4 linked regions of the Oryctolagus cuniculus genome follow. The protein of the gene in region 4 purifies or fractionates together with the protein of the main gene of each other region. This does not show direct contact. Links are inferred from orthologs where the notes say so. Each region holds a gene or a part of one and is shown on either strand. Other genes may lie near its edges.

The links. Proteins that work in one complex are often made in the same cells at the same time.
Region 1: the proteins of PPP2CB (region 4) and CCDC6 purify together in Homo sapiens (affinity purification with mass spectrometry; 3 studies listed by BioGRID and IntAct, counting the BioPlex papers as one, with this or other methods). This does not show direct contact. The link is inferred for Oryctolagus cuniculus from reciprocal best matches to the Homo sapiens genes PPP2CB and CCDC6.
Region 2: the proteins of PPP2CB (region 4) and SIKE1 purify together in Homo sapiens (affinity purification with mass spectrometry; 3 studies listed by BioGRID and IntAct, counting the BioPlex papers as one, with this or other methods). This does not show direct contact. The link is inferred for Oryctolagus cuniculus from reciprocal best matches to the Homo sapiens genes PPP2CB and SIKE1.
Region 3: the proteins of PPP2CB (region 4) and PPP2R2A purify together in Homo sapiens (affinity purification with mass spectrometry; 8 studies listed by BioGRID and IntAct, counting the BioPlex papers as one, with this or other methods). This does not show direct contact. The link is inferred for Oryctolagus cuniculus from reciprocal best matches to the Homo sapiens genes PPP2CB and PPP2R2A.

The regions. Positions count from the first base shown.
Region 1 is NC_091446.1:52,195,183-52,202,848, forward strand, and holds part of CCDC6 (coiled-coil domain-containing protein 6), read right to left. Parts: exon of another isoform or gene 6,993-7,666; coding exon 6,889-6,992; exon of another isoform or gene 3,524-6,888; intron 3,225-3,523; coding exon 3,064-3,224; intron 1-3,063.
Region 2 is NC_091438.1:55,564,250-55,571,369, reverse strand, and holds part of SIKE1 (suppressor of IKBKE 1), read right to left. Parts: 5' UTR 6,965-7,120; coding exon 6,806-6,964; intron 6,574-6,805; coding exon 6,468-6,573; intron 5,648-6,467; coding exon 5,505-5,647; intron 3,459-5,504; coding exon 3,345-3,458; intron 482-3,344; coding exon 380-481; 3' UTR 1-379.
Region 3 is NC_091433.1:47,869,385-47,876,331, forward strand, and holds the end of PPP2R2A (serine/threonine-protein phosphatase 2A 55 kDa regulatory subunit B alpha isoform), read right to left. Parts: intron 6,244-6,947; coding exon 6,152-6,243; intron 2,754-6,151; coding exon 2,474-2,753; 3' UTR 2,119-2,473; downstream 1-2,118. UniProt on the Homo sapiens protein: Substrate-recognition subunit of protein phosphatase 2A (PP2A) that plays a key role in cell cycle by controlling mitosis entry and exit. Involved in chromosome clustering during late mitosis by mediating dephosphorylation of MKI67.
Region 4 is NC_091433.1:80,849,870-80,858,182, forward strand, and holds the start of PPP2CB (serine/threonine-protein phosphatase 2A catalytic subunit beta isoform), read right to left. Parts: upstream 4,941-8,313; 5' UTR 4,938-4,940; coding exon 4,836-4,937; intron 4,178-4,835; exon of another isoform or gene 4,163-4,177; coding exon of another isoform or gene 4,124-4,162; intron 1-4,123.

The DNA of each region.
Region 1 (7,666 bases), on a different chromosome or scaffold from region 4:
AGTGACTGTTAGAGCAAGTCACCTTTCTTTTCCATCAACAGGAAAGCTTCCCAGAACTGCAGGTTCATAAGGCTCCAAGAACAATCGTGGAAGAGGAAACACTTTCACAGAAAACAACAGGTCTTGAGCACCTGAGGCAACCGCAGGAAGATTCCTGAGCATCTCCTACAGGCAAGAAAGTCCCGGGTTGGAAGACTTCCTGGAAATTCAGCCTGTAGCCCAGTAGCCTGAGGCACAGAGAACTCAACGGGTGCCACACCTCTGGATGTCATGGACACAGATGCCTGGCCCATGGCCTTCCTCGGCTGCCCTCTGCTGGCCAAGCACACACTGTGTGCACTTACTGGCCTGAGTCTTTCCTTTGCTCACAGAGCTCCCTAGTCCACAGCTTCTGCCAGTACTTCCCCCATCTTAAGCCACCTCTCAGTATGTAGTCAAAGAGAATGTCGATGGAGGGTGAGCGATTCAAGAGATGGTCCCTAAGGGTTCCAGGGTGGCCTGTCCATGCTGTACTCCCTTTCAAGCTTATGATTAGGAACTGGGAAAGCCCACTCCCCACCCCAAGCCAGCCGCATGAGCAGCCCTGAGGCAGAGGCCTGGCCCGCTGGTGTGTTAAAAATGCCCCAGGAGCTCCCATGTTCAAAGAGAGTTGACTACTGAAAGGTTCAAGTTCAAGTGCAGTGGGCTTGCAGGGTAAGGAGCTACCTGCCACCGGTACATCTAAAGGAGGTACAGGTCATCTGACCCAAGCAGAGCGGGACAGATGGGCAAGAAAAGTCAGTAACTCATCCGTGAGGCCAGACTCAAAGCCACCGCAAGCTGCCCACCTGCCACCTGCCACCTGCCGCTGCTTTGGTTCAGCTTCTGTTTTCACAGAACCAAACAGCACATACAGATGCCCACGGCGGCCATCTCCAGTCTCTTCAAAGATAAACAGTGCAGGACGGAGCGAGTAACAGACAAGGAGAATTTCCTCCTTTCCACAAGGCCCACAAGGCCCACAAGGGAAGTATAAATGAGGAAGACAAAGGTAAACTGACAGGATTGGACAGAGTTCAAGAAGGGGCCAAGAAATATCTGTCTACCTAATACAAACACAAAACCTCAAAAACAGGTTAAAATGACCTGCTGCATCTTGTTTTCATGCCTGCATGGGGGAGTTAGTAACCAGAGGTACATGCAGAATTGCTTGTCATTAAGGAAAGTAAAAAATAAAAATCAGAGGACCTTGGCTGTAACCCTGTGTTGTTAGAATGATGGTCCCCTAATGACTTCTACATGCTCATCTACAGAACCTGTAAATGCTACTGCCTTATATGACACAAGGGACCTTGCAGATGTAAGTTAGGAGTTCTGAGATGGGGAGATTATGATCTTGGATGGTTGGGGAGGCAGAGTGGAAAGGACATGTGCCCACAGAAGCAGAGGTGTGAGTGATGCCACTGCTATAAAGGGGCCCTGAGCCAAGGCCTGCAGACATCCTCGCCTAGAGCTTCCAGAAGCACACGCCCTGCTGACAACTCAACACGAGCCCAGCAAACTCCATTTCAGACTTCTGACTTCAACAACCACCGGATAAGAAATCTGTATTTTTTGAGCCAGTAACATGTTACAGTACAAACAGGAAACTAACACGTCACACTTGTTAAAGGTTCCAGGGATGATCCTGAGTCGCTATTCCAGGTGGACCACTGGACTAGAACCTGCCAAGAGCTTCAGAGAAGAAAACATAAAGAAAAGAACCCCTGTTCACTGGGAGATGCACATCCCATGGGATGCAACAAGCCAACTTCCCGGCGTCTGCCCTGAACGTGTTCTCATGGAACTCCCTGACGTGTATAGAGATGCTCACACAGTTGCAGCCTTACAATCAAAAGGGTCCCCTTGGGGGAGGGGCTAGAGGGTTGGGTCTCTGCCTGTAGTGCAGCATCCTGTATGGGCACCAGCTCCAGTCCCAGCTGTGCCTCCTCTGATCCAGCTCCCTGCTAATGTGCCTGGGAAAGCAGTAGAAGATGGCCCAAGTACTTAGGCCCCTGCACCCACATGAGAGACCAGGAAGAGGCTCCTGGCTTCTAGTTTCAGCCTGGCCCAGACCTAGTTGTTGTGCCCATTTGGGAAGTCATTCAGCGGATGGAAAATCTCGTTTTGTTTTTTTAAAGTTCCTTGGGAGAAGCCTGGTTAAGCTGCAGTGAATCTGCAGAATCAAATACCCTGGAGCCTTTACAGTGAGGACCGAGGCACTGAGGCCATTCTGTGACTAGCGGCTGGGCAGAAAAACCTACAAGGCTTATATGAAAATAGAAAGGTGCAAATAGTATCAATACTGCACTACTATTTGCATAAAAGAATTTTATACACATACACAGAATACATCCTGGAGAATACAGTAAAACCAGGCACTTGTGGGCAAACTGGGTGGCTGAAGATAGAGATGAGAGGGAGACTTCTTTTTTTCACTATGAAGCTTGCACCATACGAGCGGGGAGTAGCCAACAAGCAGAAACAGGAGAGAGCCAAGAAAATGCACAGGGACTTATCAAACATTGAGAAATCTAGCTCCTTTGCTTTCCAATTCAACATCTTGGCCTTTTCCGAAAGATGTGAGTATAAATTTCCGAAGCGTTTATTCTTCAAATACCACGAACAAATGTCAGCCCAGGCTAACTGTGGTAAGGAAGTTAAGGAAGGTAAACACTCTGTCCCCTCTGCCTTAATATCCCACAGTGCGCTGAGGTCTCCTGTGCTACCTTTGTTAGCACGATCCTAGAGATGAATGCAGGGGAAGGAAGTTAAAAATACTGCCTGTGATTCTGGGCCACACTGAAATCATCTGAATTATTGTCTGGAAGCATTCTAGCCTGCTTACCCTCCCCTATTACAATACCTTAAAAAAAAACTATCATGGGATGATGATTCTACATAATCAAGTATAAAACACATGGACTTGATAAAAGCAACTTCAGCAGTGACTATTGGTAATGCCGCGTTATCTTGCAAACAGGTTACTGCCACAGAGAGCTAACAGCTCTGAAGGCGGGGGCTGTGGAAGCAGAGGCTACGTACGCTGAAGCTGGGCTGCTCTCAGTTGCTTCTTGAGCCGTTCCACTTCGTTCTTTAAAAACCTGATGTGACGCATCATGTTTTCTGGAGAATCAATTTCCATGGAGATATCTCTAGGCGACGGGGGTGCAGAGACGGGCTGGTCTAGTTTCTCCTGCAGGATTCTTCATTGAAAAGACAGAGACCGACAATGAGAGACAGTTTGCTTTTAAAAGACAAAGTGACATACTAGGTGGAGGGCTTGTTTTAAAGGCAAGTTCCTGCTCATCATCAAGAGTCCATACGGCTACTTCACTCTCCTGTCCATTTGCCATCAACTTCTGGTCACCCTTTCCTGGTATCTCAGGGCTCAGGGCGGAGCTGTAGGATCTACTCTCTGCTGCAGCTGGAAATGACCACTGGGTATAAGTACTCGTGGTGAAGTCTCTATTTAACATCTGGTTCTGCTTATTAAGCCCGGATACAGGAGGCCCTCAGAAATATCGGCTGACTACATAGTCAACATGCTGGGTGTCAGTTATGGGAATACTAAATACTAAATTCTGCTCTCCTAATATTTTCAGCTGAAATTTTTGAGCTATTATGAATCTCCTTAGAGGGTGAATTAACAAAAATAAACTCAACTTCTAAAATTTCTTCCTGAAGGGGCCGGCGCCATGGCTCAGTTGGTTAATCCTCCACCTGCGGTGCCGGCATCCCATACAGGCACCAGGTTCTAGTCCTGGCTGCTCCTCTTCCAGTCCAGCTCTCTGCTGTGGCCCGGGAGGGCAGCGGAGAATGGCCCAAGTACTTGGGCCCCTGCACCCTGGAGACCAGGAGGAAGCACCTGGCTCCTGGCTTCAGATCAGCGCAGCACCAGCCGTAGAGGCCATTTCGGGGGTGAACCAACAGAAGGAAGACCTTTCTCTACTCTCTATCTATAACTATGCTGGTTAAAAAAAATTAAAAAATTTCTTCCTGCAAAAACCATCACAAGCACATGGCAAAATGGCCTGGGGACCCTTTGCTTCTGTCCACAGTAAAAGTAAAAATCTAAAAACAAAATTAAAACTGGGGTCTGAACATTGTGGTGCAATGGGTTAAGCCACTGCTTAGGATCTTTGCATCTCCTATCAGAGTGCCTGGTTCAAGTCCCAGCTACCCTGCCTCCGACCCAGCTTCCTGCTAATGCTCCTGGGAAGGCAGCAGATGATGGCTCAAGTACCCGAGTCCTTGTCACCTACATGGGAGACTCACATGGAAAGTCAGGCTCTTGTCTGTGGCCTAGCCCAGCCTTGGCTATTGTGAGCATTTGGGGAACCATCATATGGAAGATCAATCTCTCTCTCTCTCTCTCTCTCTGTCTCCCTCCAGCCCCCTCTGAGCTTTCAAATAAAAACAAACAGCAACAACAACAACAAAACAGACCCTGGGGCTGGCATAACGGGTAAAGCCACTACCTGCAGTGCTGGCATCCCATATGGGTGCCAGTTCAAGTTCTGGCTGCTCTACCCATCCAGCTTCCTGCTGATGCGCCTTAGGAAGGCAGTAGAAGACAGCTCAAGCCTTTGGTCCCCTGCACCCTCGTAGGAGACCTGGAAGAAGCTTCTGGCTTCAGATTGGCCCAGCTCTGGCTGTTGCAGCCATCTGGGGAATAAACCAGCAAATGGAAGATTTCTAACTCTGCCTTTCAAATAAATTAACTAAAAAAAAAAAAAAAAAAAGGAAAAAAAAGAAAAACACCACAAACTGACCCAAAATTATTTGACTAATAACAGGTGATACCACCTTCTCCAATCATTGTTAGGCTGAAGCATGTAACTTGCTGATATTCAATAGCTTTTTTAATCTGAAAGACAAAGACAGGCAGAAACAGATCTCCTCTACTACAACCAGGGTTGTCTAGGAGGAAGCCAAGAAGCTAAAACTCAATTTGGGTCTCTCATGTGGGTAGCAGGGACCCAAACAGTTGAGTCCTCACCTGCTCCCTCCTAGGGTGGAGCCTGGACTCAAACCAGGCACTCTTATATGGGATGCAGGTGTCCCAAGTGGGATCTGAAGCAGTGTGCCAAATGCCCAACCCTGTTTTCCCCAGGAGCTTCTGACCCGTGAAGTGACAACCTAACTGTCACTGAGCCCCGATTTCATTCTATAAGGAGTTTCTGGTTTTCTTTTATTAATTTTTTAAAGTTTATTTTTCTGTATTTGAGAGAGTGAGAGAGAGATCTTTTACCTGCTGGTTCACCCCCCAGATGCAAAGACCACAATAACCAAGACTGGGCCAGTCTGAGGCCAGGAGCCAGGAGCCAGAGCCCGGAGCCAGTCTTACACGTGGGTGGCAGGGACACAGGTACTTCAGCCATCATCTCTTACCTCTGATGGTGCACATTAGCCAGAAGCTGGAGTGGAAGTAGAGCTGGAACTAGAACCTAGGCACTCCAATACAGGATGCAGGGGGCCCAAGCAGCGGCTTGACCACTACACCACAATGCCTGCCCTGTGCTTTTATTTTTAGATTTTTAGCTTTGAGTTTACCCAAATACACACTGCAAATTATCTCTTCCCTTACTGAGAAAACTAATGCGTCAAATATTTTAATTGTCTCTACGTTTTTATAAATTAAAATAACTTCACTACAATTTTATTTTATAAAATAAAATAACTTCACTACAATATAAAATATAGCTGATTCAATTATAGCTTAATTATTTCCTGGAGATATACTTCTGATTTTCACTTTGTTTAAAGCTATGTGATATAATCTGTGATTTTCAAATTTAGAGATGTACTCCAAATAATTTATAAATGTGCATCCAAACCAAATACGTAAGGCAGAGTCCAGGAAGTAAACAAAAAGACCTGGGTGAAGTGGACTCAGGAACACTCCCAAGAAACGCACTCTTCACACCCATACACTCACCCCACAACCAGAGCATTCCTTCCAGCCTTACAGGCTCTGTCCTACCCCCCCCCCCACCTCCAAAGTATACAGTGCTGGAAAAAAGGGCAAGGCACTGCACTGCACCAGGGGTGCAAGACATGCAACTGCCGGGTGACATTTCACATCCGAATAATCGTCACCTTAAATATGTGCAGGTATCTCATTACCGATTATAACACAAATAGGTAGCATTTTTTTCCATTAGAAGCTCAGCTTTCCGAATGAGGTAAATTCTAGAGTTGTGCTAACAACCAACAGTACATCGTCCATCCTATGTACTTCAGGAAGCAACAGAGGGCTCAGCGTTGTGGCACCGCAGGTTACCCTGCTGCTTCTGACACCAGCATCCCACACTGAGTGCCAGTCTGAGCCCTTGGATGGTCCACTCCCAATCCAACTTCCTGCTAACGCATCTGGGAAGACAGCAGATGATGGCCCCAATACTTGGGTCTCTGCCATTCACAAGGAGACCCAGATGGAGTTCACGGCTCCTGACCTTGGCCTGGCTGATCCCTTGCTGCTGCAGCCATTTGGGGAATAAACCAGCAGACAGAAGATATCACATCCTCTGTCTCTCAAATAAATAAACCTTTTTAAACACAGTGGAGAAAGGCATTTCAATAATGTGGAAAGCTGAAAACGCAACTATCCTACGTACAATTTACAAGAGCAGTAGGACTATCCCAATGCAGCCCTGGAATGCCTGAGAAAAACGCATTCTACAGGGACAGTAAGGGAGCAAAGAATAAAGGGAAGACGAACATGAGAACATTTCAAGGTTCAACATGTGCTTCCTTGGCAAATCAAAATGCTGTGTTTCACCCACGGGACTCGGGTGTCCCATGGTCATTCCTCCGTCACACCCAGAACAGCTCTTAGACACACACGGAACAGAAGACTACACAAACCGCTTCTCTGCTTCAAGTTTATCCATCCTTTTCCAGAGACGATTCACTAGTGCTTCCTGTTCTTGTTCCAAGGTATTTTCAAGGTCAATCTTCTCCCGTCTCAACTAAGGGAAGAAAAAAGATTTCACTGAGCATGGCAGGCCGTCTCAACGTTGTTCATACTTACCTGTTGTCCGGGACAGAAATCACATTGCTAGTTTCAGCACGCACTCGAGGCACACGCCAAGTCCTCCTCATACAGCGTCTGGGTGAGCTCTGTGTACGAGACACCAGGATGTACCCGGGTTTGTCCCCTAGTCCCTCTGAAAGGTTATGCTGCCACTTATATAAATAACTCAGAAGCCTTCAAATAACTCTATACTGGAAAAGCAATGCAAATACAGAGAAAAATACATAAAAATGCACGAAAATGATAGATATCAAGTTCACAATACTGATTATCTGCGAGGACTTAGAGAAGGCAATTTGATTTGGGGAAGGGGCTGTACTAGGGAGGGAACCCCTCACTGTATTCTATGTCCTAAAATAAACATGGGAAAATTCATTTACTCAATCAGTACTGAGTAACCTGCAATAAACACTGAATACGACGACAGACATGGGATAAAAGGTATGTAGCAATGAACTTGACTCAGAAATTTCTGCCCTCATGAAACTTCATTTTAGTGTGTGTGTGGTGGGGGGGTCAAGCTATTAAATGACTGGTGGGCTTTTGGCACAGTGGTTAAGCAGCAGCCTTTTGGGGACACCCGTGTCTTATACCTGAGTGCCTCATACC
Region 2 (7,120 bases), on a different chromosome or scaffold from region 4:
AAATACTTTTAAAAATCCTCATAAGTGTATTTCACAATCCTATATAAAATAAAGTTCCTGTCTTACAATAAAATGCTTGAAGTTCTAGAGATGTGGAAAACAAAAATGAACTGAAAACAGAGCTTATAGAAAATGAAGGTCCCAGGATGAAAATCAGAAGTAGTTTCCTGCAGAAAGGAATGGTGAAATTCACTGTGTATTCTCACCAATACACCTAAAACTGTTTTGTGGACAGCCAATATTAACTGGTACTCTAAACTGTCACGTGGGAAGTTTAAATCAAGTCTGAGGCAAGATACTGAATGGACAATACTCCAATGGAAAGACAGCAACTTCCTTCCTTGATAAGACAATTTCCAGCCATCATTCAGAAGTTCAGTTATTTGATGGCTTGGGAAGCAGTGTCCACTGAATTCTCCTTTCTGACCTGAAGTGACTCGCTGCTGATAGACAATAATTCTCGTAGTTCCTTGTTTTCAAGCTGAAAAAAAAAAAGAGAACAGATACATGTTTATTTCCAGGATTTGTACTGCCAAATTGCATCAGGACAGATTGGTTTGGGCCAGGAAAAGAAAACTTATTTTCATTTTAAGGTTATAAGGAAATTCAAAACACACACACACACACACACACACACACGCTGAGACTTTCCTAAAAGACTACTTATTAATTTAACATTTACTGAGTACTAAAACTGCAAAGAAGAAAAAACACAAAGTCCCTTGAGGAATTTACCATTTGCCATACCCTTCATGGTTCCCACGCGTTTTAACTACTGTTTCTTCAATTTTCAATTTCTAATAATCTTTTCACTCTCTCCTTCCAGCTCTCCCACAGTTTTAGAAAATGAGAGGAGAAAGGTGGCAGGGAACTAGTGCTTGAGCATGCAGGGAGGTACCTGCCAGGTTCATTATGTATGCCATCTTACAGCACTCTGTAAGGGAGGTCTCTTTGCTGACATCCGTATTCTACTCAAGATAAAGATGCTGTAGTTCGTAAAACTCCAAAAACTTGTCCAAATCCAGGTCACCTGGATGTGGTATTGCTGACATCTGTGTCCAATGACCATTTTTTTTTTCTTTCTTAAAATAGTAAGTAAAACTGGTCCCACATTTCCTTAGGACTGTATCCATAACTGAGGTAAACCAGGAATAGTGCAGACAAGGGTGATTTGTTATTTAGCTAGCCACGAAGTCCTTCTTAGGACTTGCCACTCCCTTTGATTCCCAAACAGAGCTTACACTCTTCATCTTCACTCTCTCTACAGGACACTGAGACACCGCACTTCTTCAGCCTCGCCAAGGGGTCAGAGCCCACGGGCAACACACCTTCCACCATTCCAAGTGCTTCCCCGGGACTTCCATCCCTCTCCCAGCACTTGCTCTCATTTCATATCACTTCACTTCTAGTCTTATTCTTCCTGCTGGGTGCTGGGCAGAGAACTCTTTTTCTCTCTGGCAGTTCTTTTTCTTTTCCTTCCTTCTGTTTTTCTTTTTTAATTTAAATATTTATTTATTTATCAATCATTTGGTTCATTCCCCAAATGGCCACAGCAGCCAGAACTGGGTTGGGCTGAAGCCAGGAGCCTTTTCCAGGTCTCCCTCATGGGAGCAGGTGCACAAGTACGTGGGCCACCTTTCGCAGCTTTATCAGGTGCATTAGAAGGGAGCTGCAGGAGAAGTGGAGCAGCCGAGACTTGAACCAGTACCCAAAAGAGATAGCCAGTGTCATAGGCAGTGACTTAACCCACTGCACCACTGTGCCAGTCCAGCTCTCTGGTTTTTCTCAAAAGCCCATTATAACAACTTATAATAAGTAGGACACAAACCACCTACCAAAATGTTTTTCCTTAATATTTTTATGGGAGGCCGGCGCCGCGGCTCACTAGGCTAATCCTCCACCTTGCGGCGACGGCACACCAGGTTCTAGTCCCGGTCGAGGCGCCGGATTCTGTCCCGGTTGCCCCTCTTCCAGGCCAGCTCTCTGCCGTGGCCAGGGAGTGCAGTGGAGGATGGCCCAAGTCCTTGGGCCCTGCACCCCATGGGAGACCAGGAGAAGCGCCTGGCTGCTGCCATCGGATCAGTGTGGTGCGCCTGCTGCGGCGGCCATTGGAGGGTGAACCAATGGCAAAGCAAGACCTTTCTCTCTGTCTCTCTCTCTCACTGTCCACTCTGCCTGTCAAAAAAACAATTTTTTTTATGGGGTACACTAATAATCCAGGCCTTTTTTGTATATTTCTATTTTAATAAAAATATTACACAAAAATAGCTTTTAAAAAATCAAGACTTTGGGGCCGGCATGGTGTTGCAGCGGGTTAAGCCTCCGCCTGCAGTGCTGGCATCTCATATAGGTGCTGGTTTAAGTTCTGGCTGTTCCACTTCCAATCCAGTTCCTTGCTAATGACCTGGGAAAACAAGTGGAACATGGCCCAAGTCCTTGGAGACCCACAAGAAGCTCTTGACTTTGGCTTGGCCCAGCCCCAGCCACTGTGGCCATTTGGGGAGTGAACCAGCAGATGGGAGACTTCTCTCTCTCTCTCTCTCCCCCTCTCTAACTCTGCCCCCTTTTTTGTAAATCAAGAATGTGAGGCTGATAAAATAAATAGCAGTTCCTTGGCTTTGTTCCTTAAAAGCAGTACCACTTTATGTCTTTTCTTCCTTAATTCTAAATAATCTGCCTACACTTGTATTTCCTAGTCATCAACTTTAGGTATTACTCATATGACTTCCTCCTGTGGCAGATGGGGAATACTGGCTCATATAACCTATTCCTTTCACTTTCTCTACTCTCATAGTATCTCAACCTCTAGGCAATTCTTGGTTGGTAGTTTCACAGAATGCTGTTTATTACAACACTGCCTTTTTTTTTTTTTTTTTTTTTGGACAGGCAGAGTGGACAGTGAGAGAGAGAGAGAGAGAGAAAGGTCTTCCTTTGCCGTTGGTTCACCCTCCAATGGCTGCTGCGGCCAGCACACGGTGCTGATCCGAAGCCAGGAGCCAGGTGCTTCTCCTGGTCTCCATGCAGGTGCAGGGCCCAAGAAGTTGGGCCATCCTCCTCTACACTCCCAGGCCACAGCAGAGAGCTGGCCTGGAAGAGGGACAACCGGGACAGAATCCGGTGCCCTGACCGGGACTAGAACCCGGTGTGCCGGCGCCGCAGGCAGAGGATTAGCCTATTGAGCCATAGCGCCAGCCAACACTGTCTTTCTTAAAACGATATGAAGAGTTTTAAGTCGTAAGAAAACAGAAAATATCAATATATTACAGTGATAAGGTAGTGATGGCATATATTCCAGACTATGAAAACTGTGAAATATCATGAACTAAAAATGGCAGCAATCTTACCTCTAATTGGGCTAGCTTTTCCTGAATCTTACAGAACTGGTCATCATCTACCTGAACTGCTTTCCTCATCACTTCTCCCATTTCACAGATTCTGTCAATCTGACTCTCAATTTCCTGTAGAGAAATTAAGAGGGGGGAAAAAAGTCATTCTACAGATATGAAGTGCATGAGAACACATTATTATGATTTTTAAAAGTTCATTTTTTCTATATTATACAAGTTACAATGTAGTTACACTATAATCTGAGTCATGGAAAGTAAAGTCATAATAGAGTGAGCTTATGGCATTCACAAAAAATTTTTTTATTTTAAAGAATTTTTAAAAGGAAATTTGTTTACTTTAGAGGTAAAGAGAGAGAGGGAGTACACTTCTCGCTGATTTGCTGGTTCATTCCCCAGTATCTGCAACAGCTTGGACTGGATTGGGTTGAAGCTGGGAGCTAGGAATGCCATCCAGGTATACAAAGTGGGTGGCAAAATCCCAATTACTTGAGCCATCACCACTGCCTCCCCCGGTCTGCATTAGCAGGAAGCTGGAATCAGGAACTGGAGGCAGGCACACAGACCCCAAATACTCCATGGGACAAGGATATCTTAACTGCCAGGCTAAACGCCTGCCCCATGAATCCAAAAGTCTAAGAACAACTAAATGTTGGACGATATCATCAGGTGGCCATTTTTCAATTAAATTTGAAGACTTTTACTGGCAAGAAGCTTACCACAGACCAAGGTGTCTTTATCCGGTCATATTGCTTAGAAAGTATTTCTGAATGAGCTAAACTTTGTCTCCCTGAAGGTTCATATTTTTCCTTCTGAACCACAGTAAATAACATTTATTTTTATTTTTCATATGAAAGGAATCGAGTATTTAAAATATCCCTTTGGTGGGAATCCAAGTACAGCAGTTAAGATGCTGTATGGGATGCCTGCATCCCATTTCGGAGTGCCTGGTTTCAAGTCCTAGCTCTTCGGCCTCTGGTCCAGCTTCCTGCTAATGTGCATCCTGGGGGCAGCAGAGGAACAGCTCAGGTAGTTGGGTCTCTTTCACCCACATGCACATGGGAGATCCAGACTGAGTTCCAGGTTTCTGGCTTCAGCTTGGCCCAGGTCTGCTATTGTGGGCATTAAATTAGTGGATGTGAGACCTTCTGTCTCTGCCTTTCAAATAAAATGAAAATAAATCAATAAAATGCATCCAAAAGGATCTGAGATGAACTGTATCTTCCACTGCAGCAATTAGTGAGGCTCCAATCTATTGTCCAGGATTCAGTAATAGTACATGTGATTGTATAATGACAACTATGAAGCACTCAATGAACACAACACCAATTACTGGCCTCTCAACTTACATCATTCCCAGCCAAGTGTAGAACTGGGCCAGGTTTTTGTTTTTTAAACCATACTTGTCTTGTCTAGTAACACAATATAATGCTACTTTGTTCATTTTGATAAAGATTTACTGACTGTTTGTTATGTGCCAGGTACTACGTTAGGAATTAAATGAATTCATATTCCTTACAATTAGGGAATTTATAGTTTGGTATGTGCAAGTAATACTCAACCAACCATGAAGATACCTCAAAAAGTTCATGTAAACTAGAATTAAGCAGTTAGTTTCTTTTGGTGCAGTTTTGAAATTCATTCAGTTTTTTAAATAATATGTACTCTCCATGAACTTCAATGATCAGAGCTGCACTGATCCAAAGCCAGAAGCCAGGAAATTCTTCTGGGTCTCCCATGTGGGTGCAGGGGCTCAAGCACTTGGGCCATCCTCTACTGCTCAGGGAGCTGAATTGGAAGTGGAGTAGCCGGCACCCAAACCAGTACCCATATGGGATGCTGCACTGCAGGCGGCCGCTTTACCCACTCTGCCACTGTGGGCACCACCTTCAGCACTACCTGAAATTGCTGGAAAAGCTAAGCATTCATTAACATCTTAAAAACAGATCTTAGCGAAGGATGGAGGGACGTTAGCCCCACTCAAATTAAAGGATCTCAGGAGCCACTCATGCCCTTCTATTCACAGCTTTACAAAGCCACAGCAAATAAACACTGAATGTAATAAACCTGCCTTTTATTTTTTAAAAAAATGGACATGATCTAAAACAATCTCAAGATTTTCATTCAGTTCATTTAGAATTTAGCATCCAAGTTTCTTACTGCAGAGTGAGACTGGTGAGCTTTCAGGACCGGTTCAGCATCCACTGCCTTTTTAGCGACCATTAACTGTAGCATCTGTTTCCGGTACTTGCTCATGATGAGTTCCAAAGCATCCTGGTGTTCTTCCAGGGAAACCCAGAGCTCTACCAAACAGATACAAAACAAAATAACTGAACAGTGAAGGCTGTGAGACAGATCCCAAAGGCTAACTATTGATAGGTGGAATTCGATGACACTCCATGATACTGTGAACCCAAAGTTGTAGCAAACTGAACAGCTAAAGTCTACATGAAAAATAACTTTCTAGGTAGAGGCAGCAGTTTGGCAGAAACAACATGGGGGTGTGTAATCAGAAAAACACCGGCTTGAGTTCAGTTCTGTGCCTTACTTGCTTACCACTCATAAGTAACTCATTTAACTTCTCTGAGCCTGTTTCTTAAAGGCACTGTATAAATACCTGGCTTGCCTACCTCAAAATGAAGACAGGAGACTACAGGGTAATAACATATACGAAAGCCCCCTGTAAAGCGCTGTACAACTAGTACTATTAACGTCGTTAATAATGCACTCATCAACCTAAGAATGCAAATATATATTCTGAGGATAGAATTCCACTCTTCCATCATGTGTAAGAACATATACAAAACCTTCGAACTTAACATCAGGGTTCATTACGTTAATATCTAAACATTCAACTTTAAGCCCTTAAGGATATACAGTGTCGTCATGCAAGCCTCCATCTGGGGGTACCTAAAAAAGCCATGCAATAATTCAATTCAAGCAAGCGTCTCTTTGATAAGCTGCTTATAAAAACAAACCTTGGAACGGGTAATCTAACAAGCTTCTTACTGGGCCAGCACACGGTAACTTTCCTAGTAAAAGTACTGACCTGAAAATACATTTAGGGTAGTTTCGCCACTCCCAGACGTGAAACAATCCTAACCACACAAAGGCCTGACTCACCTCTGTTTTCCTGCTGTAAGTCTCTAATCTGTGTGTTTTCTTGGGACAGCAGAATGTGGGGTTTGTATTTGGACATATCCTTCACATCGGATGCATCCTCTTGATACTGCACAAACAGAGACAGCCTAAGCGCACTGTAAACAGAACTGGGGCAGACGCAGCTGAAGAGGCAGGAGTCAGAGCGCCAGGGCAGGATCACCAGCCCCTACCCTGCAGAAAGGTCTTCCTGCCGCCCTGAGACCAGGGATAAACTGCGGGCCGAGGTCCCCCGTCACCTCGCTCTCCACTCCTCAAGCGCCCAGAACCCCAGGGCCCTGGTCCGCTACCCTCCGCCTGACCTGGTCCGGAAGCGCTGTCCCCGCCTCCCGCATAGCAGCCACTCGCCGGTGCAGCGCCGCCGACTGATCCACCAGCGACTCGGCGGCCGCATCGTGCTCCCGCAGCCTCTCTAGCAGCGTCTTGGCGTCCGTCAGAATCTTCTCGATGGTGCAGCTCATAGCGGCTGCCGGACCCAAATCCCGGCCAGTTCACCTACGCTATTTGCTCAGCTCTCCCTTGAACCTGTCTCCGCGACACAAGCGTCACTTCCGGTACGTCGAGAAGCGCCTGCGCAGTGGCCGCCCGGTCCGCCGGGTGACCTGCAGTAACCTGCG
Region 3 (6,947 bases), about 33 Mb from region 4:
ATCTTCTTTCCCGTAATTACTAGTATATAAAAGTGTTTATAAGATTTGCTTTTTAACTATTACTATTGCCCAGCCACTAAGTAAAGATCATAGAGATTAACAGAATGAGACTTCTCTTTCCTATCATAATCTTTTAAAAAGGTTAAGAAAGGACAGAAAATGTTTATTAGTGACAAGAGAACAGGAAATACAAGCAACTTGACAAGACTAAGTTCATTCTAAGTATAATTTTTATTAATAAAAAGATTAACCATGACCATATAAAATGAGTGGCTGGGCTCGTAGTTTGCTACACCAAAGAAATTTGAAAATGAATACTTAATGTTACAATTTATAATAGCATACCTTATAGAAGCATTTCACTCAAATATATAAAACTATCCCTTAGTGTAATGGGTGAGAATTATCTTAGCTACTGATCAATCAAAAATAAATTTCCAAGAGCTATTCAGTTATGTTATATCAAGCATACAACCCAAGTGTAGGGAAACCACGACCAAAACAGATGTTCTGGAGAGTTGCTCCATCAGAAAACACAGTATCACTACTTGATACTTCTGGCAGGGGAATATTCCACTTACAAGTTAGTATGAAGAATAAATAGCACAAACTATGAATATACCAATGATCCCAAAATAAATTAGAAAAAGTGCTGTTAAAAATTATCAGACATATAATAATCAGTGTTTAAATACAAATTCAGACTTGCTAAGTCCCAGAGACAGTAATTTTATTACATAAAATTTCTACTGCGTGCTAAAAATGTTAACTTACAAGACATAATATTTATATAAGTGTAGAGGGAATTATGATGAAATATTTAATCAAATTTGCATCTGAACAATAGGTAGTGGACATATAAGAAGCATTCAGTCCTCTAAAATTCAAGGTTGTTATATTATTGCTCAACCAAAATATACTACCATTCTCTAATAATATAAATGCCTGCTCAATGCATCTTTTAAAAATAAAGTCCATTTTTTCTCCATTAAAGCTCTTCAAGACTGACAAAGGTATATTCCACCTATTAAAAATAGGGACACTCTTCATCTTTGGATAAGGTATCACCACTTAGGGAAAATGTAGTCATACACAGATTACCAAATTTTATTTATAGGGCCAGCTGTGGGGAGTCCAGTAAGCAGTTTTTTTTAACACTGTACCTTTAAAATTTTGTCTTTAATACAGCTTTGGAAAATCAAAAATAGAAGGAAAATATCTATGGTAAAGTACATTTCATTCTGCTTTGATAGTAATAAAATACAAAAAAAGTAGTGCAGTGTCAATTTGTATTAGATCATTTGATGTTAATGTTATGCTGTAAGACTGAATGACAAAAAAGTTTTTGTTAAAAACATTTTAGTCTTTGACTTAGTATTTAGTAAGGCAAAAAAATCAAAGCACTGTAAAAAGTCATTTTAAAATGAAGTTCTACAAATTTGGATCCCATTTACAACAATTTAACAGATGAGTTAAGTGTTGATACAATGTATCCAATACCCTCATAACTACAGTAAAAAGTCTCTAGTAGCATTTATAGATTATGAAAACCTTAATAATACCAACATATATTTAAAACATGTTCATACAGAACCAATACCCCTCCTTTTCCATGTAAAAGAACACTTGATAAAAATAATTAACAAAAATACTAATAAAATAATGGAAACCCATTTCATTTCACGGTGTCCAAAAGGGTATGTCACAAAATACTGGCTTAAAGAGGTAGATTAAAAAGAAAAAGAAAACCAGATTCTCCATTCTTTGTCACTTTTATTCAGTAGTAGTTTTTTTTTTCCTTATTTTCAGTGCCAGACATGGCAAGGAGTGATTACAGCCAACTGTTATTAAAACATTTGTTCGCAACATACACCCCCTTTACCACTAAACCCCAAACTGACTCATTTTGTGTGCTTTCGTTCTTTTTTTAATATACCACCACCAAGTCGGGTGGAGGGGGCAAAGGTAAAAGAGATGAGGGGGAAGAGTCCAGGAGGCCAGAGAGGAGGAATGCTACAAGCCACAGTAAGAATGAGCTGTATTTAATTTAAAAAAGGGGGAGGGAGGGGTGTACCCCACAATGATACAGTAATGAGGATACACAATTAAATCCCATAGCATGACTGAAGGCTTTCACTGTGTTTGACATCATCACAATGGAAGGCATAAAAAGTGGAGTAAATCAATGTTGATACAGTCCAATCTAGTCCATTAGGCAAGATGGTGCAAGAAGTCATTTAAATTAAAAGTGCCCTACCCTTACCTAAATGGCTAGCAGACATGGAGAACACCACAGTGATGAATCCACAGAGCTTTCTCCATGTAGCTATATAAAAATGTGTTGTCAAATGGCACACTGTCAAACACTGGAAAGGGGCACCACAATGGACCTCTCTCTTTTATAGGTACGAATGCTAGATTTCAACTATCTCAACTAAGCAGGAAGTGGGCTCCTCTGCTAGGAATGCCAACACTAATTCACTTTGTCTTGAAATATATACAGATTGTTTGTGGTAGCTACAGCAATGATATTTTCCTTGGGGTGCCAGGCTGTATGAAGGATTTTCTTGTTGAAGTCTAGGCTGTCAACGCTTATTTCATCTTTCTTTCGCTTGCCACTCGCACAGACTTTCCGTGGCTTCAACACTGTGCGAGGCTTATTGTTTTCCCGTGATGCTTCTAGGGTTATGTCTCGTTTTGTGTTCCTGTCAAACATTCTGAAGAAATTATTATAAGATCCAGTCATGACAACACTGTAAAAATAGACAGAACATTCAGTCAAACAAAGGAACAAGAGATTGTTTTTAGCAGAACAATTAAACCTAGCGTGATACTACACAGAAAACAGCTACTTAAAGCAGATTTTAACAGACAAGACTGCTGACACCAACTCAATGACTGGAATACACCTGAGATATTTTACTTTTTTTTTTTTTTTATCAATTACTCCTTTAGACGACTACCAAAACTATCAAGAGAAAATTGAACAGTACCCTCAAATAAAATGTCTTAGAAGTGAATTGTCATGATTGCATTTTCTGCAGCTGTAGGCAACATCTATGCAATTCTAAAACCAAACTGCATGAAACAGCTGTTAAGAAACCAATGCTGGGGCTAGTGCTCTGGCAAAGCAGGTAAAACTGCCACACAGAGTACCAGCATCCCATTTGGGTGCTACTTCGAGTCCCGGCTGCTCCACTTCTGTTCCCTGCTCATGAGCCTGGGAAGGCAGCGGAAGATGACCCAAGTCCTTGGGCCCTTGCACACACGTGGGAGACCGGGATGAAGCTCCTGGCTTCAGATTGGCCCAGCCCTGGCCACTGTGGCCAATTGGGGAGTGAACCAACAAAGTTCTCTCTTCCTGTCTCTGCCTCTCCCTCTTTGTGGCTCAGACTTTCAAATGAATAAAGGAAGGAAGGGAGAAACTAATTCTTTCTAATTTAAACTATAAGCTATTTAATTTGTCCCAAGGCCTGGTTCAGATAATCACATTTTATGAATGCTTATAATAAAATCTATTCCTGAGACTATTAAGAAAGTAGCATGTAATATTTTTTAACAGAAAATAATTTGTACCACTAAGAACATTTTAAGTAAGTATTTTTATAAGTGTGAGTTGAAAAGGGTGCCAAATTCCTAGCCTGCCCAAGACACTTTCTTGTCAGTCTTATTTGCTCAATATTTACAAAACAGCCTCATCAACCAAATTTGACAAAAATAAAATCATTAATAACTCAGGAAGGGCCTGACTGGTACTACTACCATTTACTATCTCCTTTCCACATGGCTCAAATCACTATTGTACTATGTATATTATGTACACAAGTTATCTATTAAAAACAAATGATTTTCATCTACTCAACAGACAATTTTTAACCAAACTCAAATTGGTACACGTCCCTACATACAATAAACTCTTATTTTCTTAAAAATGATTCACTATGTAAATCTGTAAGGTTTTGATTAGGATGCCTAGTCTATCGCTGAAACATTTTTTTTTTAAGAAAATATTTATTTATTTAAAAGGCAGAGTTATAGACAGTGAGAGGGAGAGACAGAGGTTCTTTCATCCGCTGGTTTCCTCCCCAAATGGCTGCAACAGTCAGAGTTGGGCCAATCTGATGCCAATAGTCAGAGCCTCCTCCAGGTCTCCCACGAGAGGGCAGGGGCTCAAGCACCCGGGCCGCGTCCTCCATCACTTTCCCAGGCTGTTAGCAGGCAGCTGGATCAGAAGAGGAGCAACCGAACCAATGTATGGCTGAAACTTTTAAAAGTTAAATGTTTCAAGTTTTAATATCCTCTAGAACACATAACATCATGAAACCAGGATGAATCTACTGTATAAAGTAAGCATCTCTACTTTAAATGTAGTTTTAAAAGAACTCCAAAATGCTGCTTTCTTTTACTATTTTTTATCGGAACATAGTAAGTGGTACATGTTGACATTTAAAAGACTGAAAGAAAGACTTATTACTACTTCCATAAGGTGTCAATATCTAGAAAAACCGAGGACCAGTGCTGTGGTGCAGTAGTTTAATCCTCTGCCTGCAGCTGGTACCGATCTAGTCCTGGGTGCTCCTCTTCCAATCCAGCTCTCTGCTAAGGCCTGGGAAAGCAGTAGAAGATGGCCCAGGGACCAGTGTTGTGACATAGTGGGTAAAGCTGTCACCTGCAGCGCTGACATCCCTCATGGATGCCAGTTTGAGTCCCAGCTGCTCCACTTCTGATCCAGCTCTCTGCTATGGCCTGGGAAAACAGTGGAAAGTGGTCCAAGTCCTTGGGCCACTGCACCCATGTGGGAGACCCAGAGGAAGCTCCTGGCTGCGGACTGGTGCAGCTCCGGCCAATGTGGCCATCTGGAGAGTGAACCAGTGGATGGAGGATTTCTTTCTCTCTCTGCCTGTAACTCTTTCAAATAAATTAATAAATCTTAAAAAAGAAAAAGAGAGAGAGAGAGAGAGAGAGAGAGAGAGATGGCCCAAGCACTTGGGCTCCTGAACCTGTAACTATACCTCTTAAATAAGTAAAAAAAATATTAAAAAAAAAATCTACAAAAACTGGTGCATAGTAACACAAGTGAAATATATCTGCTGCCCAAATATTTTAAGAATAGTTCAACAATAGGATAGTAACTGAACCAAAATTTCACCATTTAAATTGTTGGTATGTCGGCCGGCGCCGCGGCTCACTAGGCTAATCCTCCGCCTAGCGGCGCCGGCACACCGGGTTCTAGTCCCGGTCGGGGCGCCGGATTCTGTCCCGGTTGCCCCTCTTCCAGGCCAGCTCTCTGCTGTGGCCAGGGAGTGCAGTGGAGGATGGCCCAGGTGCTTGGGCCCTGCACCCCATGGGGAGACCAGGAAAAGCACCTGGCTCCTGGCTCCTGCCATCGGATCAGCGCGGTGTGCCGGCCGCAGCGCGCTGGTCGCGAAGGCCATTGGAGGGTGAACCAACGGCAAAAGGAAGACCTTTCTCTCTGTCTCTCTCTCTCTCACTATCCACTCTGCCTGTCAAAAAAAAATAAATAAATAAAAATAAAAAATAAATTGTTGGTATGTCAATGTGATTTATCTGGTCCTTAAAACATTCTTAAAAATCTATAAATTCTACATATTCTCCTATCTGCTAGTGAAAGAATGCTTCACTTTTATGGACCAGTATTGCTATACTAAACTAAGATTATTAAATTTATTTCAAGGAATCTCGAAGGAAAAAATGAAGTTAGGACTTTTAATTTATGTCAACCTAAAAAAAAGTCAGCCGGGAGTAGGTGTTGCAGCAAAGTAGATTAAACCACTGCTTGAGATGGCCATATCCCACACTGAAGTGTGAGGTCAAGTTTAGACTCCTTCACTTCCAATTCAGCTCCTCACAAACAAGCCTGGGAAGGAGACAGAAGATGGTCCAAGTGCTTGGGTCCCGGACATCCATGTGGGGGACTGGGACGGAGCTGTAGGCTCCTGGTTTCAGCCTAGCCCTTTCCTAGCTGTTGTGGTCACTGGGAAGTAAAAAAGTGAATGAAAAATCTTTCCCTCTCTGCTTTTCAAATAAATAAGTCTCAAAGAAAAAGCCCTATTTTTTGTGACTGGCAACCATACCAGGAAGAATGCAATAATAAACCCCTTTTCTCTAAGTTTAAATTAAAAGCAATTACCTGTCAGATCCATTCCAACAACATTCAAATTTGTCAAATATGCAGTCATTTTCATACAGTGAACAAAGCTTACTTCTGAGGTACTCATGCACCTGAGGAAAAACACAGATATGTAACATATATACCTGAGCTTACCTCAACACATTTATCTACTTAATTTAGAGAAGTATTTTTAAAAAGCCCTTATCTTTACAACAAAAAAGGGCTTAATATATGTAAACACAGTCCTCCTCTCTCATTAAGTCTCAATCCTCTCAGTAACAGAAATGTGCCTTTCAAAGAGGCTGCAAAATTTTCCTCCTAAATGACAGGGAAAAATTCCCTTCTTAGTATGGCACATGTAACCCGTTGTAAGCCTGAACAAAACATTTAAGATGGAAAAAATTAGAAGGTACAGATATGCACCTCATAAAAGAAAATTACAGCACCATTTGACTATCACTTCTTGGTTTTAAGTCTTTTAGCTGCTGATAAAACTATGAATACCATGCTTACTAACTTCCAGAATACCATTTCCTGGGCATAATTTAACTGAGGACTGTGCTTTTAACTGAATGCATATACTTTCCATAACATGACCATGCCCTGGCCGGGTGATAAATTATATGGACACCCTTGGTAGGCACCATTAAAAATTTATAGCATCACTTGATATTACTTATAAAATGTTAACAGTCAATGAAATGTACTTTATCTTACTATTACTTTTAACTGAAAGAGATCCTTAAAAAGTAACGCTAGGAAAGAATAGGTACCCCTTAAAAAGCTGAGAATTCTCTATTCTTTATGAAACAAC
Region 4 (8,313 bases):
GCCGGCGCACCGCGCTGATCCGATGGCAGGAGCCAGGTACTTCTGGTCTCCCATGTGGGTGCAGGGCCCAAGCACTTGGGCCATCCTCCACTGCACTCCCTGGCCACAGCAGAGAGCTGGCCTGGAAGAGGGGCAACCGGGACAGAATCCGGCATCCCGACCGGTACTAGAACCCGGTGTGCCGGCGCCGCAAGGCGGAGGATTAGCCTAGTGAGCTGCGGTGCCGGCCTATGAGCACTAGTTTTGTCTTCAATTTCTGGCATTTTGGTTTTCTGTCAAAGAACTTCATTTGCCAAGTTATTCATAGCATTTGTCCTGAAGAAAAGGCCGAAAGAAAATTTTCTGCAGAATCTTTGTATTACAATGAAAAGTATATATGACAAATAAAACTTAAATAAAAAGAAACTTTAAAATATACACATCTTTAGTTTATCGACCTATGTGCATGATTTTACACATCACACATGGTCCAGAAATGAGGTGATTTAACAAAGTCTGTTTCCTAGTCATTAGCAATACTTAATGTCAGTCTAGTCTGGATTAGTATCTTAACCTGTCTGCTAAAGCAGTTGGCTTAGATAGCATGAAATCATTTTGTTCAGTCAGTAGAACTGGGTCTCAACCTTGTATTCCACTGCAATCATGGCATTCTTTGTTATAGAAAGAAAGGAGCTGTTTTCTACATCACTGCATTTCAGACTTTGTCAATGGACCACCAAGGCTGGCATTAATCTTTGTTAGAGGGAAAATTAAAAATGAAAGTACTGATTAGGCTTTTTCAAGATCATTATTGTTCTTAAGCTGAACCTATCACAAAGAATAACCTAAAAGATTTTTCTCGACTAACAAAACCAGTTCATTTTTACCAGTTCATTTTTCATTAAGATGGTTTTGGGCATTCAGGAATTTAAGTATACCATTTCACATTAAGAACGAAGTAACATGCTGAAGGTATTTTCACTTATTTCAAGGCCAGAACCCAGAAACATATCCATCAGTCCATATTCATCTCCTGCACAAGCCTCAATGTTTTCCTCAGCAGCTTTTATAATTAGATCTGCCAGCACACAAACTAGCTCATTTTCCCTGCCCACCTAGAGAATCATAATCAGGGTTCTTCAGTCATAGCATTTACCAGGACAAAGAGCCTAAGACTTTTTACTCTTTTATTTTTAAACTTTTACTCTTCTGGACACAACAGTTAGATACAGTTCTCATCACAGAATGTCCTTAACAGCACCAGATCAGTTGTAAAATTCCTGTGCATACTGCTGTGACAACAATGAATCACACACCCAATTTCTCTGCAGACATTAGGGATGTCAAATTCACGATCAGCTTCCAAAGCTGGCTTACTAATTAGGTGTTACTAGCTAGTCTTCTCAGAAGATATGCCTTACTATTTTATGCAGTGTTTTACTACACAGGAAGTAACCTCAGATGCAGACACACCACACTATCCCACTATTTTTTGTGGTCATTTGCCCACTGGCACTACAATGGATTTTCTTTCTTCCACTACCCCACAATAGGCCTTTACTAGTACTCCTTTGGTCTTGAGGTCAGCTGACTCCTTGTTTTAAGGCAATCTGATTTAGAAAAGGAAATTAATCCTAACTGAAAAACCATCACCATAGAGTGTAACTTCCTATATAGTATTTCCAATAGAATAAAAAAGTAATAAAAAGTTAAACTAAAATCTAGTTGCAAGGAATTAAAGATGACACTCATCTCAGAATTTTGTGCTTCAGATAACGAGGACACTAATTTTCAGGGTCCTATAGCCACTGTACATACATTCCCCTTTGATTCACCACAGAAGTGGTATCTATTTATTTTGCACTTATTTCCTAAAGAAAATGATAAGGCATTTAACACAAGATCCACATTTTTAGCTTTCCCTCATTTAACACTCACTGACTTTTACTTTTTGTCAGGACGTCACATGGGGTACTTATTTAAAAAAAAATTATTTATTTGAAAGGCAGAGTGAGTGAGTGAGAGAGAGAGAGAGAGATGGCTCCCATCCACTAGTTCACTCTCTGAATGGCTGCAACCATCAAGGATGGGCCAAGCCCAAGCCAGAAGCCCTGTGGAACCAGTGCTGATATGGATGCCAGCTTCACAAGAGGCAGCTTAAACCCTCTATGTCTCAATGTCGGCCCCACACACGGGCACCATCTTAATATAATCAGTTCAAGAGATCAGTGAATATGATCCCTGCCTGGCAGGTAAGAAGTCAAAGGTGCCAGATGGGCAGCTAGCAAGTGGAGCACAATTTGAATCCAGACGGGTGGAACGCTACACCTGTTATTAACAACAAGCATGAGGTAGGGATATAAAACCAGAACTAAGGACTACAGGTAGACCCTAGGTTAGTACCTAGTTGGTACTCTATATCCATAGAGATATATCCTCAGATTCAACCAACCAGAAATTATGATATGGGGGAAAAACTGCCTCTGTACTGAACACAGACATTCTATTTCTTATTCTCTAAAAACACAGTATAAAAACCATTTACATAATATTTTCATATCAGGTGTTACAACTTAGAGATGATTAAAAATATACAAGAGGGACCAGCGCCGTGGCTCACTTGGCTAATCCTCCACCTGCGGCACCAGCATCCAATATGGGCGCCGGGTTCTAGTCCCGGTTGTTCCTCTTCCAGTCCAGCTCTCTGCTGTGGCCCGGGAGGGCAGTGGAGGATGGCCCAAGTGCTTGGGCGCCTGCACCCGCGTGGGAGACCAGGAAGAAGCTCCTGGCTCCTGGCTTTGGATCGGCGCAGTGCCGGCCGTAGCAGCCATTTAGGGAGTGAACCAACGGAAGGAAGACCTTTCTCTCTCTAACTCTGTCAAAAAAAAAAAAAATATATATATATATATATATATACACAAGAGGAGGTATGTACATTACATGCAAACACTGCACATTTTATAAAAGGGACTTGAGCATGGGGACTTTTGGTATTCTTATAGGACCTGGACCAATCCAGCACAGATACGGAGGCACCACATATGCCACAAAAGTAAGCCATAGTTGCCAGAACAAGGCGGCTACACTGAGAGCTGCTGAACTACTGGCACTCTGCTCCACTGGCAACTCTATCAAAGTGCACAGAGCACAAACACAAATGCAAGGCGATCTTCACTTGAGCTTCACATTTTGTGGATAACTACAATCAAAGATAGAACAGGTCAACGCGTAAGTAAACTATAGCTGTAAGATCCTAGGTAGTTCAACTTATTTAGGAGGTGAAGTAAAAATAATCTCTCGATAAATACACAGTTTCCTGGCATGATTTAAGATTTGAGTGCAATTATCAATGTACTGGTAAAATAGTCTCCTCTAGGAAATTAAAATTATTAGAAAGTCAAAAAGAAAAACTGATTCAACTACCACTTTAGTCATAACTTCAAGTCTGTATCTGACGTTCACAGGGAGGTTAACCAATTCAGCTAATTACTCAAACTTGATGCTGGAGCTTGAGAGTTTAGTAAAGCGTAAATTGTAAGACCCATGAAATCACAGGTTTTCACACACACACACACACACACACACAAATGTGGAATGAAGGTACAAGCAAGCAGTTTGCTTCAGGAAGAGAAATATACCATTTCTGTGGCACTTCTATCTGCAGAAATAAATTCAAATTCACTTTTATCTGCAGAAATAATAACATGTAGTTATTCAATATGTAAGCTCCCTGGGCACTTGTTAAAAACAGTGGCTACCCCTCCATCCTTTAGTTGCATAATTTAAAAAGTGCCCTACTGGGGCCTGTGCTGTGATGTAACGGGTGACATCTTTACTTGATGACTGAGGCTGGTTGAGTCCTGGCTGCTCCACTTCTGATCCAGCTCCTTGCTAATATGCACCAGCGTGGGAAACCTGGAGGCGGCTCCTGGCTCGGGCAGGGCCCCCACCATTTGGCGAGTGAACCAGCAGATGAGAGATCTCTCTCTTCCTCTCTGTAACTTTGCCTTTCAAATAAATAAATCTGTCTTTTTTTTAAAAGTGCCCTACTAATAAGGCTTAAAAAATTACTTCCTCAGTGCTTTTCTGAGGTATGCGGGCTTTCAAACACATTTAAGAAAATAACCTAAAATAACCTCCTTACTCCAGTACCTCGTGGACTTCCAAGGGGACTTTCCAACATACGAATACATGAAAACTAATTAGTCCACAGCGCAAATGATGAATGAAGAACAACTGGAGGCTCTCAAGTACACCACCTGCACAGGTGAGAATTCCACGGGTTCACAAAACAATGGCTTCCGAATTCAGAAAGCTAAGACCAGACACCTGACAACAATGCACTGCCTGCAGGGTTTACCCCCGTTTGGGGACTGGAAACAACTTTCTGAAAAGTGCCACCCTGCATGACAACTCACAGGACGGGACTTTAAGAAATTTTTTTTTTTTGGTGTAAAAAACCGATTTTTAAATCCACGAGCAGTCTTTAATCCTTATAGGCATTTTCCACGAACTGTCCCCGAGCTCCGGCCTCGCGGCGCGGGTGCCGCCAATCCACGCGCGCCGTGCGGGGCGCCATCTGCGCGCACCTCTATTTTAAAAAAGCCACCGTCTGCCATCACGCCCACCGCTCCGGCGCGCGGGAGCAAGTTGGCCGACCCCGACGACGCGGGGTCGGGTCCCTCTCGGGCCGTCACGCCCGTTCCCGGCGGACACCCGAGTCGGCAGCGCGGGGGCGCGGGCACTGCCCCGAGCCGACTGCGGCGTCGGGGGCCGGCGCGGAGCCGCGGCCAGGCCGGGCAGGGGAGCCGCCGCCGCCGCCCAGCGCCCCGCGTTCCTCCCCGGCCGGCCCTCACCTTCTCGCACAGCGTCCGCACTTGGTTCTCGTTGAGCTGCTTACACTCGTTCAGCTGCTCGACCCACTGGTCCAGCTCCTTGGTGAACGTCTTGTCGTCCATGGCGGCCCGCTCCCCTCCCCCACCCGCCCCCGCCCCCGCCCCCGCCCCGGGCGCCGCTCCCCTCACCCGCCGCCGCCGCCGCCGCCAAGCCCCGAGCGGGACAGGAAGGAGCTGGGGAGGGTGGCCGCGGGCCCCGCACCCGGCTCAAGTCCAGCGGGCGGCTCCCCGAGGGCACCCCGCGTCCGTCCCCGCCCAGGGAGTCTGTGGGGGAAGCGGAAGGGTCGGGGTCGGGGGGGGGGTGGGGGAGCGCGGCGAGGACGCTCTGGACGCAGCTCCCGCCGGGCGATGGCCGCCCGCGACCGCTGCCGCCGCCCGCCGCCCTCTCCCGGCTCCGTAGCCCCTACCCTCTCGCCCTTTCTCTCCCCTCCCTGAGGGTTTCCGTCATCGCCCGGGCATTTCCGCCGGGAAGAGGCGAGCGGGCGGCGCCGCCGGGGCACGGCCGGCGAGGAGCGGAGCAGCGCCCTCGCGTGGCTCGGCGGAGAAACGGCCCTGGGGACCCGGGGTCGGGGGCGCCTGTCCGGTCCTCTTGCTTTCTCTGGTCTTTTCCTCCCAGCCTGGTCTTGGCTCCCCTGATTTCTTCCCCAACATCTTGTCCTAGGGCAACTTCGTGTTCACCTTAAGCTCCCGCAGTGCGTTTCCGCCGCTCTGGACAAGGAATTTTATTCTCCCCAGCGTCAGGCACTCTTCCGAAGCAGGCATTCAATTATTTACAGAATAAATTTCTTCTAGCCGGGTGTCTCGAACGCTCGCTTGCAATATCGGGAAGATGAAATGATTGTTTTGTGCGATCGTCTGGGTCGTTTCCAGCTCCAGCAGTGTTTACCGAGGTGTAATGATTTGGTCAACACGCTCTTGGTGCCGGCTGCCGGCTGCTGGCCAGGCACCTTGTCCGGCACATGCTAACCACCCACACTTCTTCCCTTAGAGATTCGCAGTGCTGGGCGGAACCCCAGAGGGAGGCGGCATCCTGGGTGAGAGGGCAAGTGTTCCTGACCTGGCAGTCGCCACACCTCCTCAAGCATCAGCTTCCCTTCTCAGGCTCTGAGAGTCAGAGGTTGAAAGTGCCTGTCCCGTGGTACACCATGGGAGCCATGTGTCTGTTGTTTTTACTGTCCTGGGGAACACTTTCAAAGAGCTTTAGAATGGGAGCATTTTGAACTGAATTATTAAAAAGCATTTATTTATTTTGAAAAAGTTGGAAAGGTAGAGAGAGATCTTCCACCCACTGGTTCACTCCTAGCTGGCCACAATAGCTGGCACTAGGCCAGGCTGAAGCCAGGAGCCAGGCACTACATCTGGGTCTCCCACATGGGTGGAAGGGGCCCAAGCGCTTGGGCCATCTGCTGCTGCTTTCCCCAGGTTCATGAGCAGGAAGCTGGATTGGAAGTGGAGCAGCCGGGACACCAACTGGCTCCCTGATGGAATGCTAGCATTGTAGGCAACAGCTTTAACCCGCTACACCACAATGCCTGCTCTGAATGTTAAGAGAGAACCCATCTGTTGGTTTTCTCCCCAAATGCCCTCAAACGGCCAGAGCTGGGCCACATAACAAGCCATAAGACAGGAACTCAATCTGGGTCTCCCACATGGGTGTCAGGGGCCCAAGTACTTGAGCCATCACTTGCTGCCTCCTAGTGTGCATTACTAGGAGGTTGGTACTGAACACAGGCACTCTGATATGGGCTGTAGCATACCAAGGTGGGGGGCTTAATTGCTATACCAAATGCCCACTCCCAACCTGAATTTTGAAACTTATCCTCCTCCAATCCCCCCCCCCCCCTCCGCAAAACCCTGAAGCTGCCTGGAGAACAGGAAAGAAGTTTTAAGGAATCTGTGTGTGTGTGTGTACCAGAGGACAGATGTACCCAAGACCACTGTCTGTCTGCAAAGCTGTAAATACTCCCAGCAACACAAATAGGTCACATGGTGGGAAATGAGGCTGGAAGGGTTCTTGCTTTCAAGCAACTTGTAAAAGGTAGCAAACCAATGGAGCGATGAGCAGATGCTGGAAAGGTGGGGTACCTGGACAATCGTAGTAGACATTGCTCGCTCTCCGGAGGCTGAAGTTCACCTAAACCTGAAAAGCAGACTGAGAATATTTCTGGAATTCCTACAGTAGATGGGCTGAGAACAGAAAATGTACCCTGAAGAGAAATGGAAACTATAGATGGTGGTTAGAGAGGAAGATGGGTGAAATAGAAGCAAGTGTGTTTGGAATTAATCTGCGACAATGTTCTTGGAGTTGGGGGGGTGCTTAGGTGAACTTGTGAAAATAATACTTCCAGAATGTTTAATCAAATAGTGCTGAAGAATAAATCAGGATGCTTTTTTGGAGCATTTTTCTTTTTTTAAGATTATTTATTTATTTGAAAGGCAGAGTCCCAGAGAGGCAGAAGCAGAGAGAGAGAGAGAGAGAGAGAGAGAGAGAGAAGAGAGAGAGAGAGAGAGAGAGAGTGATCTTCCATCCATTGGTTTACTCCTTAGATGGCCACAACAGCCAGAGCTGCACATATCTGAAGCCAGGAGTCAGGAACTTCCTCTGGGTCTCCCACGAGGGTGCAGGGGCCCAAGCACTTGGGAAATTTTCGACTGCTTTCCCAGGCCACAGCAGAGAGCTGGATCAGAAGTGGAGCAGCCGGGACTCGAACCAGCACCCACATGGGATGCCGGCACTGCAGGCGGTGGCTTTACTTGCTATGCCACAGCGTTGGCCCCTGGAGCACTTTCTATATACTGTGTATTTAATATGTATGTTCTCATTTAAATACTCCAATAAGCCTGTGAGGCAGGTGTTGCTATCCTGCATTTGATAGATAAGAGAACCAACATGCAAAGGTATGAAAACGTGTTCAAGTCACACAAACAGTACTGGTGGAGTAGACTTGACACCGTGTCTGTCAGTCTGACATCCACGTCCATGCTTAAAAATGGCCTCTTTAGTATGGGCGGGAGCAAGAAAAGCCAAGGGTGGCAGAGTGACAAAGGCTTGATCTTTGCCACATCAGTTTTCACTCTTTCCTTTGTGAAGTCATCATAATTAAAACCAGAAGCTAGAGGAATGGGCACTGTGGCTCAGTGGGCTAAGGCACTGTGTGGAACACCCTGCATTCTATATTTGAGTGCTGGTTCGAGTCTCAGCCACTCCAATTCTGATCCAGCATCCTGGGAGGTATGAGACCTGGGTGTAGTTCCTGGTTCCCGGCTAGGACTAGGGCCAGCCCTTGCTAATTGCAGGCATTTGGGGAATGAGCCAGTGATGGAAGATACTTTCTCTCTCTCTCTCTCTCTCTCTCTCTCTCTCTCTCTATCTCTCTCTCTCTCTCTCTGTCACTCTGCCTTTCACGCAGATGAAAATCAGTCAATAAAAATGGAAACT